2 linked regions of the Arabidopsis thaliana genome follow. The protein of the gene in region 1 interacts with the protein of each later gene in a pairwise test. Each region holds a gene or a part of one and is shown in the gene's direction. Other genes may lie near its edges.

Region 1 (5,465 bases):
GATGACAAGAGTAATAATGGTGATCCTACAACATCAGAAACTGTTACTCCTAAAAGAATGCGTACAACTCAACGCAAAAGGTCTGCCACCACTTTAGGCGATTCAAGGAATTTGCCACAACCAGATGAGTCAAGTGCAAAACAGGAGAGGAGAAATGGTCCCGTTTGGTTCTCACTTGTGGCGTCCAATGATCAGTGAGATTTTTGCTCTCATATCTGAAACTATTTCCTTTCATGATCTTTCTCTCTTTCTTCATTTTGTTTCTCTTCTCTTGGTATATTGACAAGGGCTTACTGGTTACAGGGAAGGAGGAACTTCTTTACCTCAAATTCCAGCAAATTTTTTGAGAATAAGGTAGGTTACAGTTTAGGTATTCTTTGTTTTATATATCCTGTGTTGTCGCTGCATCTTACATAGTCCCTCATTTTTCTGTTATGAGGAATTCTTTTGTTGGGGAAGATAATCCAATGTCTCATTCTGTGATAGGGATGGAAATACAACAGTTTCTTTCATCCAAAAGTACCTCATGAGGAAGCTAGATCTCGAGAGTGAAAATGAGGTAAGGGTCTTTATATGCACTATGGCACGAGAAAGGATAGAACGTTTGAATATAATGGAACTTATATGTTTGGTTGATAAAAAATGGACATACTTATGGTTTATGTTCAGATAGAGATAAAGTGTATGGGAGAAGCGGTGATCCCAACGCTGACGCTTTACAATTTAGTGGATCTATGGCTCCAGAAAAGTTCAAACCACCAACGGTTTGCTGCATTGGTAGGTTCTTCTGCAAAGGATTTTACGATGGTTCTTGTCTATGCTCGGAAGCTACCAGAGTGCAACATGTAAAGGACTTTAAAGACTCATGTTGTTGCAGAAGAAGATTCTGTGGAGACAGGGTAATCTTTTCTTTTCGGTTTATGGAATCTCTCAAAGCATTACAAGAGAGAACATTACTAGAACTACAGGAGCAGTCGAATGTGTTGTGAAATTAGTATTAATATTTTTTTCTATAGACGAAATATACACTCATGAGTCGCTTTTCTGTGCAAGAAAATACAAAATTTGTTTCCCTTTTCTTTCTTCTTCTTCTACTATGTGTCCTCTCTGGACTTGCATGTAACATTGTTGTCACTTTCTAATCAAATGTTGTAGTTTAAGATGTTTTAGATTGATTTATATGCATTTATTTGGGTACTACATCATTTCTATGGAAACTAAGGTTTTCAAGAATTACTGTTCAAGTGTTGACTGTGGATGACGAATGTAGTAGAACTGTGATGACCTATATGGAGGTAGAAAACTACCAAATTAACTACATAAAACTTATCTGACAAAAGACGAATGAAGTTCATTATCACTATTTTGTGTTATCGTGAGTACCACTATGTGGTGACAACCATCATGCTTAATATGAGTAACATATTTATATAACAAATTGTTATGATGTTCAAAAAATGTTACGAGTATGCAATTTAACAGATTCTTTTTAATTCATGCTTTACATATAGCCATGATGCTTAACGATATCCAAAAGAAAACAAAAAAAAATCATTGAAGAGATTGCACCTAGACTAGATTGCCTCTCGGATGACCTTGTACATGTGTTGCTCTTAAGAAACGTAATCTATGCATCATAACTAAAGGAAAGTTATACATGTGTTTTAATATCAATTAAAATTGGTTGATTACATACTTAAACTAGTAAATCACAATCTATGAATAATCCGGACTCTTTTTAACATAGACACATGACACATCAACAAGTAGTGTGCAACATATTCTAGAGGATGGTCATCTTAGGTAGTATTCATTCAAATGATTTTGGATCAAAAAGTAATTGAAATCCCACGTTTATTGGTTCGGTTCACTCCTTGATTAGTCAAGTTTCATATTAACATAATTTTCATCGAAATTCTCTTTAGCATTATTCGAAAAACCAAATATACTGTAATACTAGCAAGAAAAACAATAGTTTTGACATATCTTGCTTCATAACCGAATATCTCATTACAAAATAATCCATTTTTCACGTTTAGATAATCAAACGAACCCTCACAGAATTTTCTACACAATGCAAAAAACAAAAACGAATTTCATCGAGTATATCACGAGTTATGGTCAAATGAATCGAGTCTAAAAGCACAACAAATATGACCAAAGCATCTAATCCACATCCACTAACTTACTCATCCCACCATCTACACTCCTTCTTTCTCTGCCGTCGATAAAATTTGATCCAACGATTAATATTCAAACCTGAGAAAAGAGTAGCGATCCGCGTAGTCATTGTTTTAACCAATCAGAAGCCAGATATGAATTGCCGTCTAATACACATCTAACTATATAAATCGGACGTTTCCAATGATCCTCTTCACAATCCTCATAATCACTTTCGAAATTACATTTACGCTTTCTTGCAATCAAATTTTCCGATCTTAAGTTCAGAAGACGATGTCAGAGGTGGAAATAGAGAACGCTGCTACGATCGAAGGAAACACCGCTGCGGATGCGCCGGTGACGGATGCGGCCGTTGAGAAGAAGCCTGCAGCGAAAGGACGAAAGACGAAGAATGTTAAGGAAGTGAAGGAGAAGAAGACTGTTGCTGCCGCTCCGAAGAAGAGAACTGTTTCATCTCATCCTACTTACGAAGAGGTAAAAATGAGATTCGATTTCGTTTATTCGTGTTTCTTATTAAGCCGGATTCTGATTTTGGAATTTAGAAATTGATTTTTGTGTTCTTTGTTGATGCGATTTCAGATGATTAAGGATGCGATTGTTACGTTGAAAGAGAGAACTGGATCTAGCCAATACGCGATTCAGAAGTTCATCGAGGAGAAGCGTAAGGAGCTTCCTCCAACATTCAGAAAGCTGTTGCTTCTCAATCTGAAGAGACTCGTTGCTTCTGGGAAGCTTGTGAAGGTCAAAGCCTCGTTTAAACTCCCATCGGCGTCGGCTAAAGCATCATCCCCTAAGGCGGCAGCGGAGAAATCTGCTCCTGCGAAGAAGAAACCGGCGACTGTGGCGGTTACCAAGGCGAAGAGAAAGGTCGCTGCGGCTTCCAAGGCTAAGAAAACAATCGCCGTTAAACCTAAGACTGCTGCTGCTAAGAAAGTGACCGCGAAGGCTAAGGCTAAGCCCGTTCCTCGTGCCACTGCTGCTGCAACTAAGAGGAAAGCTGTTGATGCGAAGCCCAAGGCTAAGGCTAGACCAGCCAAGGCAGCCAAAACGGCCAAGGTTACATCTCCGGCTAAGAAAGCTGTTGCTGCCACGAAGAAAGTTGCTACGGTGGCCACAAAGAAGAAGACTCCGGTTAAGAAGGTTGTGAAGCCAAAGACGGTTAAGTCTCCAGCAAAGAGGGCTTCTTCTAGGGTTAAGAAGTGAAGTTAGGGTTTGTAGGTAGAAGAATGGTTAACGATAGTTTAGACTTGTATAATTCAATCATCTTTATGCGACTTTGTTTGCTTTTCTTCTTTCAGTGTTCTTGTTATTCACAGTTCCTTTGGACTACCCCTTAAATCATATATAGATTTCATCAATGAAGCAAACTCGAGTTTCTTTGCAGCTAATTTGTGTCAGGCTAGTGCTGTTCTTGTTGAGTTATAGTAAACATGGATGTTATTATACAATCAACAAACTTTTACAACATTGAAGTTATACAATGAACAAGTTTCTGTTCTTCCTTGTCAACTCTGCCCTTGTTTTCTATGTTTACCATTTTCAGCTTTTGGTGTTGTTGATGAGATGTTGTTTAGATCTTTTTTCAACTTTCTGAATGGAATATTTGAGTTCCTGTTGAATGCTAAACCTTGAAGGTGAAAGAACAATGTCTTTCCAGATTGAACCTGCTTCACAAGCAGGGTTGGGTTGTCTATAGAGCTCGTAAATGGAGCCTGCGTTCTCGTTTAACCCTCCTACTCGCTTCAAACAATCTATCTCTTCTGTATCTACTAGCAATGTCTTTTCCTTTTCTTTCCAACCTATCAGCTGTTTCACAATCACACTTCACCTATTAGTATTTTTCTTATCTACTATTATCTATGCACCATTGATAAGATGTTCTTGTTAACTCTTAGTGCAGGAGAACTATAACTAGCCTAGGGGTGAGTTGGGGCTTTCTAAGTTGGTCTAGGATCTTGGCTTAGGCATTGGTCGAGAGTTTGAAATTTCTCTTGTTCAAATCGGTTAAGTTCTTTGTTGCATTGAGTTAAAGTATAAGTTTATCGGTTCCAATTTCAAAACTAACCTTTGGAGAGCCTTCCAGCGCGTTAGTGCAGTAGAGCCTAGCATTGTCGACAAGGCTGCAATATGTAGGAAATGCTTCCGCAAACCGTTTGTGAGATCTCAGCTGTGATCTCACCCTAACTGCTCTTCTGCACATGATAGCTCTCCTACAATCTCAGCCAAAAACACTCTTTTAAGTTAATAAGAGACAAACTTGAAAGATAGATTGAAAGATAAGATGGTGCTTTGTACTCACCTAATGCCTCTTATAACTGCTAAATACGCATCGCACACAACTCCAACTAGTTCTATTCTATACGGTTTTCTCCTACGACCATCCTCTTGAATCTGTTGCCTTTCACCAATTCGTTCCCAATAGTTCTCTGTTATAACTCCATCATCACCAACCTTGTATCCAGCTCCCATTCTGTAATGGTGTCGGTGTACGTTCCTCGCCATTGTTATTGTCTGCACCACAAAAGGTACCCAAGAGAGTGTCCCATCCATTATCACATCCCTTCCTTCGTTCAGAGCCGTCACTAGCAGGGATGAAGCTGCATCTGTTGATGACTGATGAACCTATATATTCTCACAAAACAATTTCAAACCTCAGAATCAACATTTTCATGACTCCGACAGGTTCTTGAAGATGTTTGTGGATGGCTTACCAATTCAGCTGTCTGGATCATATCGACATGGCCACGAGAGCTTAAGGCTCTGTAAATGACATCAGACTCTTTGAAAGCATCAGCTTCAATCACCACAGAGTCTGCTCCTGCCCAGAATGCTCTGCTTCCATAGTGAAAACCATTTGGTTAGCTTCTTTGCTTCAGCTACATAGATATATACGTTTCTCTATATGTATAGTAGAAGTGATAATTATATAATGAGATCTTTATTTACTCTTTGAGTATGTCCTTAAGCACAGTGCTTTTCCCTGCACCCATCCCACCACCCATAAGGAGTAGCACTGGACTTCTGTCTTTGTGAGCCACTGGTGCCATAACTTCTGTGCACTGCGAGTCATCCACAGACGCGAGCCCCATTGCTCTCATTTCCTCTACCAAAGTGTTGAACACTCTTGCCACTTTTAAGTTCTTAGTCACCCTCTTAATCCTCAGCTCCCTAGATACATATACACACAAAATCAATTATTCGTCAATCACTAAAACAGAACACACGGCTTTCTAATACAAAATAAATCCTGTTTCTGTTTCTTTTGTTCATTACCTTGTAGCTGC
Region 2 (6,725 bases), on another chromosome or scaffold:
GAATATATATTCATAACAAAAAATGTATTTTAATATGATGAGAGATTACCATCCAAAAGGTCGAACTTATATAAAACAAGTTAATAACTAAACAATACATGTGATCACAATCAATGACAGTTTTGATCTTAAAATAGAAATGATTGAGCAAACCTCAAAAATGTCTTCTTAGGATCACAAAATCTTTCCTTTAGCTTATTAAAGCCGGGAGTTCAACTCTCTCTCCCTTGTAGACTTTTTGTTTTCAAATCTTTTTCTTTCAAAAAATCAATAATTAGTTAATGGGCATAATATTTGGTTTTAATTAAGTCCATAGATTTTTTAGGACCATCTCTAATCACGACAAATATCCTAAATTGTAACACATTTAAAACTTAAAAGTATTGCATTCACAATCCTTAAAATATATATATATATATATATATATATATATATATATATATATGAAAGTTATATAGAAACGATAACTCCTTACTCAACAATTAGCCCAAAAAAACATCCATAATGCATTTAAACTAGGAATTTTAACAAACTCAAATAGGTTGGTAGTTAAAAAAAAACAAATAGTAGATGTACATACGTACCTTTAAAAATATATACTCATATCGAAAGTTTTAAATTTTGCGAAATTAAATACATTTATCTATCAATTAAAATACATTTAATAATGCATAATTCTGTAATATCTATCTTTAATTTCCATATAGAACCAAAACAAAATAAACATATCAAATAGTTTTAACTTAACAAAAACGTTAGGGAAAAGTTGACCTAACTAGCTTGATTGACGTTGAACTTGTCAATGCGAAAGCGATATTTCCAATATATACTACATGTAGTATTATTTATATGGAAGTTTCTAAAAAGGTGTTGAGTGGATTGTTACTTGTTGGAGGATGCTATTTTTTCCTTCTTGCCATAATATTTTACGAGTATGGGATAACTACATACTCATGATTATGAAACGCTCACTTTATTTGAAAAACCTCCTAATACACCAAATATGTCACTAGATTCCAAAACGTAGACCAATTGTATCTAATCTCAAATTCTCAATCAAAGTATTAATTTACCGATGGTAAGAAAAGTTAACCGATATAATTATCAAAAGAAAGAATAAGTCAACAGATTCTTAATCTCTTTATTTTGGTATATGAACATTTGTACAAAAATCTCAAAAGATATGTAACTGTTTAAAATATAAATTCACTGAGATTAATTCTTCAGACTCGTGTTAGCTATAATAATGTCAAGAGTTCTTCTTGTTTCAAGGAAAAACCTTAAAGATATGTATATTTTCTGTAATTATGATGATATAATTTGCTATTCATTGTCACAAACATTACTTTAAAAAATCGTATTTTCATTACTACAATGTTGACTAAGAACAAAAATACATTGATTATTGATATATCGTCAACTGAATTTTCTTCCGAGGGATATAATTCTCAAACATAGCAAGAATCTCATAATAATGTTTCGTGACTACCTTTAGACGAAATTTTTTTAAGATTCGTAACGTGACTTATGGTCTCTTGCTGTGGGGGTCAATGCGAATAAATCTAAATGTATGGGAGTCAAATAAAATACCAAGAAAAATAAAGGAGCAGCACCCAATAAACTATATGGGACCAGAAATCCTTTCATTGGTTTAAAATAGGATTATCCCGAAAGATGAAGGACTAAATTGAAACTGATTGGGGGTAGGAAGAGATCCGTCACAATCATTAATGGCTTCCACGCGGAAACTTGTCGTTTATACAATTTCATTAACTTTCGGGTCGGGTTTATATTCCAAATGGGTCAAATAATATTAGTTTAATACACTAACGGAGTAATTAATTGGTGACTACAATTTTATCAGTTTGGTGCAATTAGAAACGAACATAGTCGTAAAATACGAGTTCGGTGTTATACCTTTATTTACGTTAAAAAAATACGAGAATTTTGTGTCAAATTTCAAATTAATTTCATGAATATATGGAAATTATTAGATACTCTAGCGAAAATAGTGATTATGAGCGTTTTACAAAAATACGATTTTAGCATTGAACTTCCTTTATGTAATTCGGTCAAATGTTGGCATGAAGAAGCAAGTTTGCAACATTAAATTTCATTTAAAAATCGTGTTGACATACTTTAAAATCTAAATATAGGAAGAAGACCAAAACATTAAATTTAGTAAGATTCTAATGAACATTTATAAGTTATAACTTATAACCAACAAAAGTTGGGTTTAGCGTTGTTGCTTTATCTGAAAACTTGCAAACTAAACCATTTTAATAGGACTAATGACAATTAACAACAAAATACACTTAAGCAACAACGTCCTCGTGAATATAATTTGGGCCTCAGGCCCATATTGCTAACGCCAACTGATATTTCACTTTATTCCTTCTTCATCTCACCACACTCTCTCTCTATCTCTATCTCTAACGGCATAGCTGACTCAGTGTTCTCCGGCATTGACTCGCCTGAGAATCAGAAAGCTTAGATCGGTGAGCTTTTAGCTCCATTTTCTGTTTATTTACATATTATTTCCTTTTTTTCTCTCTCCCTTTTTTATCTGGAATTTGTTCTGCTAAATTTTCCAGCTGTTACATTTTCCGATCACGAGAAGAATCACTGGGTTTTTATGTTAATCAATACATGTTCCTGTTTTCTGATCATAAATCTCAGCTATTAACACCTGATTTTGATTCTGCGTAATAAAAACCTCTGATTTGCTTTTATCTTCACTTTCCCCATAAACATTGCTTACTTTATTCGCTCTTCTTTTACCGTTTCCAGCTAAAAAATTCTTCGCTATTCAATGTGTTTCTCGTTTTGTTGATGAGAAAAATATCTGACAAAAAATCATTTATTGCATTTTATGGTGCAGATTCTTAGTTAATGTCGCCTTCTCTAACCAAGTCAGATTAAAAAGGAGTGTTCGTCCATGTTGCTTTGTTTTGGTGTTTGGAGAGAGTTTTCGGAGAGTTAGGTGAGTGTTATTTGGGGTGAGGTAGTGATAAGGTTTGAAGGGGGAGTGATTCATCAAGTGTGTTATGAATTCGAGGGCTGATCCGGGGGATAGATATTTTCGAGTTCCTTTGGAGAATCAAACTCAACAAGAGTTCATGGGTTCTTGGATTCCATTTACACCCAAAAAACCTAGATCAAGTCTGATGGTAGATGAGAGAGTGATAAACCAGGATCTAAATGGGTTTCCAGGTGGTGAATTTGTAGACAGGGGATTCTGCAACACTGGTGTGGATCATAATGGGGTTTTTGATCATGGTGCTCATCAGGGCGTTACCAACTTAAGTATGATGATCAATAGCTTAGCGGGATCACATGCACAAGCTTGGAGTAATAGTGAGAGAGATCTTTTGGGCAGGAGTGAGGTGACTTCTCCTTTAGCACCAGTTATCAGAAACACCACCGGTAATGTAGAGCCGGTCAATGGAAATTTTACTTCAGATGTGGGTATGGTAAATGGTCCTTTCACCCAGAGTGGCACTTCTCAAGCTGGCTATAATGAGTTTGAATTGGATGACTTGTTGAATCCTGATCAGATGCCCTTCTCCTTCACAAGCTTGCTGAGTGGTGGGGATAGCTTATTCAAGGTTCGTCAATGTGAGTGATCAAATCTATTTTCAGTTTTTTTTTTTCCCTTTCTTCCGTTCTTGCAGTACTTAGAGTAGAACATGAATTAGAATATCTTAAGAAAGTCATGGTTTTGAACAGATGGACCTCCAGCGTGTAACAAGCCTCTTTACAATTTGAATTCACCAATTAGAAGAGAAGCAGTTGGGTCAGTCTGTGAAAGTTCGTTTCAATATGTACCGTCAACGCCCAGTCTGTTCAGAACAGGTGAAAAGACTGGATTCCTTGAACAGATAGTTACAACTACTGGACATGAAATCCCAGAGCCGAAATCTGACAAAAGTATGCAGAGCATTATGGACTCGTCTGCTGTTAATGCGACGGAAGCTACTGAACAAAATGATGGCAGCAGACAAGATGTTCTGGAGTTCGACCTTAACAAAACTCCTCAGCAGAAACCCTCCAAAAGGAAAAGGAAGTTCATGCCCAAGGTGGTCGTGGAAGGCAAACCTAAAAGAAAGCCACGCAAACCTGCAGAACTTCCCAAAGTGGTCGTGGAAGGCAAACCTAAAAGGAAGCCACGCAAAGCTGCAACTCAGGAAAAAGTGAAATCTAAAGAAACCGGGAGTGCCAAAAAGAAAAATTTGAAAGAATCAGCAACTAAAAAGCCAGCCAATGTTGGAGATATGAGCAACAAAAGCCCTGAAGTCACACTCAAAAGTTGCAGAAAAGCTTTGAATTTTGACTTGGAGAATCCTGGAGATGCGAGGCAAGGTGACTCTGAGTCTGAAATTGTCCAGAACAGTAGTGGCGCAAACTCGTTTTCTGAGATCAGAGATGCCATTGGTGGAACTAATGGTAGTTTCCTGGATTCAGTGTCACAAATAGACAAGACCAATGGATTGGGGGCTATGAACCAGCCACTTGAAGTGTCAATGGGAAACCAGCCAGATAAACTATCTACAGGAGCGAAACTGGCCAGAGACCAACAACCTGATTTATTGACTAGAAACCAGCAATGCCAGTTCCCAGTGGCAACCCAGAACACCCAGTTCCCAATGGAAAACCAACAAGCTTGGCTTCAGATGAAAAACCAACTTATTGGCTTTCCATTTGGTAACCAGCAACCTCGCATGACCATAAGAAACCAGCAGCCTTGCTTGGCCATGGGTAATCAACAACCTATGTATCTGATAGGAACTCCACGGCCTGCATTAGTAAGTGGAAACCAGCAACTAGGAGGTCCCCAAGGAAACAAGCGGCCTATATTTTTGAATCACCAGACTTGTTTACCTGCTGGAAATCAGCTATATGGATCACCTACAGACATGCATCAACTTGTTATGTCAACCGGAGGGCAACAACATGGACTACTGATAAAAAACCAGCAACCTGGATCATTAATAAGAGGCCAGCAGCCTTGCGTACCTTTGATTGACCAGCAACCTGCAACTCCAAAAGGTTTTACTCACTTGAATCAGATGGTAGCTACCAGCATGTCATCGCCTGGGCTTCGACCTCATTCTCAGTCACAAGTTCCTACAACATATCTACATGTGGAATCTGTTTCCAGGATTTTGAATGGGACTACAGGTACATGCCAGAGAAGCAGGGCTCCTGCATACGATTCTTTACAGCAAGATATCCATCAAGGAAATAAGTACATACTTTCTCATGAGATATCCAATGGTAATGGGTGCAAGAAAGCGTTACCTCAAAACTCTTCTCTGCCAACTCCAATTATGGCTAAACTTGAGGAAGCCAGGGGCTCGAAGAGACAGTATCATCGTGCAATGGGACAGACGGAAAAGCATGATCTAAACTTAGCTCAACAGATTGCTCAATCACAAGATGTGGAGAGACATAACAGCAGCACGTGTGTGGAATATTTAGATGCTGCAAAGAAAACGAAAATCCAGAAAGTAGTCCAAGAAAATTTGCATGGCATGCCACCTGAGGTTATAGAAATCGAGGATGATCCAACTGATGGGGCAAGAAAAGGTAAAAATACTGCCAGCATCAGTAAAGGTGCATCTAAAGGAAACTCGTCTCCAGTTAAAAAGACAGCAGAAAAGGAGAAATGTATTGTCCCAAAAACGCCTGCAAAAAAGGGTCGAGCAGGTAGAAAAAAATCAGTACCTCCGCCTGCTCATGCCTCAGAGATCCAGCTTTGGCAACCTACTCCTCCAAAGACACCTTTATCAAGAAGCAAGCCTAAAGGAAAAGGGAGAAAGTCCATACAAGATTCAGGAAAAGCAAGAGGTAACTAATGTATTCTACAATCTCTGTGATATAATTTTGAGATTTTAGTAACTGATGTGTCCAAACCAGCTCCTTATCACTGTTGGTGCGTTGTATAGGTCCATCAGGAGAACTTCTGTGTCAGGATTCTATTGCGGAAATAATTTACAGGATGCAAAATCTGTATCTAGGAGACAAAGAAAGAGAACAAGAGCAAAATGCAATGGTCTTGTACAAAGGAGATGGTGCACTTGTTCCCTATGAGAGCAAGAAGCGAAAACCAAGACCCAAAGTTGACATTGACGATGAAACAACTCGCATATGGAACTTACTGATGGGGAAAGGAGATGAAAAAGAAGGGGATGAAGAGAAGGATAAAAAGAAAGAGAAGTGGTGGGAAGAAGAAAGAAGAGTCTTCCGAGGAAGGGCTGATTCCTTCATCGCTCGCATGCACCTGGTACAAGGTGAAGATCCACTTCTCTTCTCAACTCCATTTTTATTCACACAAATTAGTAGAATACTCAAAAATGATGTTTTGTTTGCAAAATTTTAAAATTCACTAGTTAACCATGTCAAATAATATTCATAATGCATCTTGTGAAGAACAGGTGTGCATTTATGGTGACAGCTGAATGGTTTATGTGCCTATTATTTCTTTTACTGCTATAGATGACCAATTGAACTTAAACGTTTACAGGAGATAGACGTTTTTCGCCATGGAAGGGATCGGTGGTTGATTCGGTCATTGGAGTTTTCCTTACACAGAATGTCTCGGATCACCTTTCAAGGTATATGAGTTGCCTTAATAAATTGAGTTCCAAAACATAGAAATTAACCCATGGTGGTTTTACAATGCAGCTCTGCGTTCATGTCTCTAGCTGCTCGATTCCCTCCAA

The links. Proteins that work in one complex are often made in the same cells at the same time.
Region 2: the proteins of AT1G06760 (region 1) and DME interact in a two-hybrid assay, tested with the Arabidopsis thaliana proteins (one study listed by BioGRID).

Annotation. Positions count from the first base shown.
Region 1 is NC_003070.9:2,074,606-2,080,070, reverse strand, and holds AT1G06760 (winged-helix DNA-binding transcription factor family protein), read left to right. Parts: upstream 1-2,303; 5' UTR 2,304-2,454; coding exon 2,455-2,655; intron 2,656-2,760; coding exon 2,761-3,384; 3' UTR 3,385-3,567; downstream 3,568-5,465. Other genes in the region: DRIP1 (DREB2A-interacting protein 1), read left to right, coding at 1-194, 304-354, 487-559, 670-849; AT1G06750 (P-loop containing nucleoside triphosphate hydrolases superfamily protein), read right to left, coding at 3,721-3,987, 4,247-4,391, 4,481-4,803, 4,893-5,013, 5,128-5,349, 5,455-5,465. UniProt on the Arabidopsis thaliana protein: Histones H1 are necessary for the condensation of nucleosome chains into higher-order structures.
Region 2 is NC_003076.8:1,306,739-1,313,463, forward strand, and holds the start of DME (HhH-GPD base excision DNA repair family protein), read left to right. Parts: upstream 1-2,375; 5' UTR 2,376-2,498; exon of another isoform or gene 2,499-2,881; 5' UTR 2,882-3,047; coding exon 3,048-3,618; exon of another isoform or gene 3,619-3,729; coding exon 3,730-5,850; intron 5,851-5,948; coding exon 5,949-6,293; intron 6,294-6,526; coding exon 6,527-6,617; intron 6,618-6,687; coding exon 6,688-6,725. UniProt on the Arabidopsis thaliana protein: Transcriptional activator involved in gene imprinting. Catalyzes the release of 5-methylcytosine (5-meC) from DNA by a glycosylase/lyase mechanism.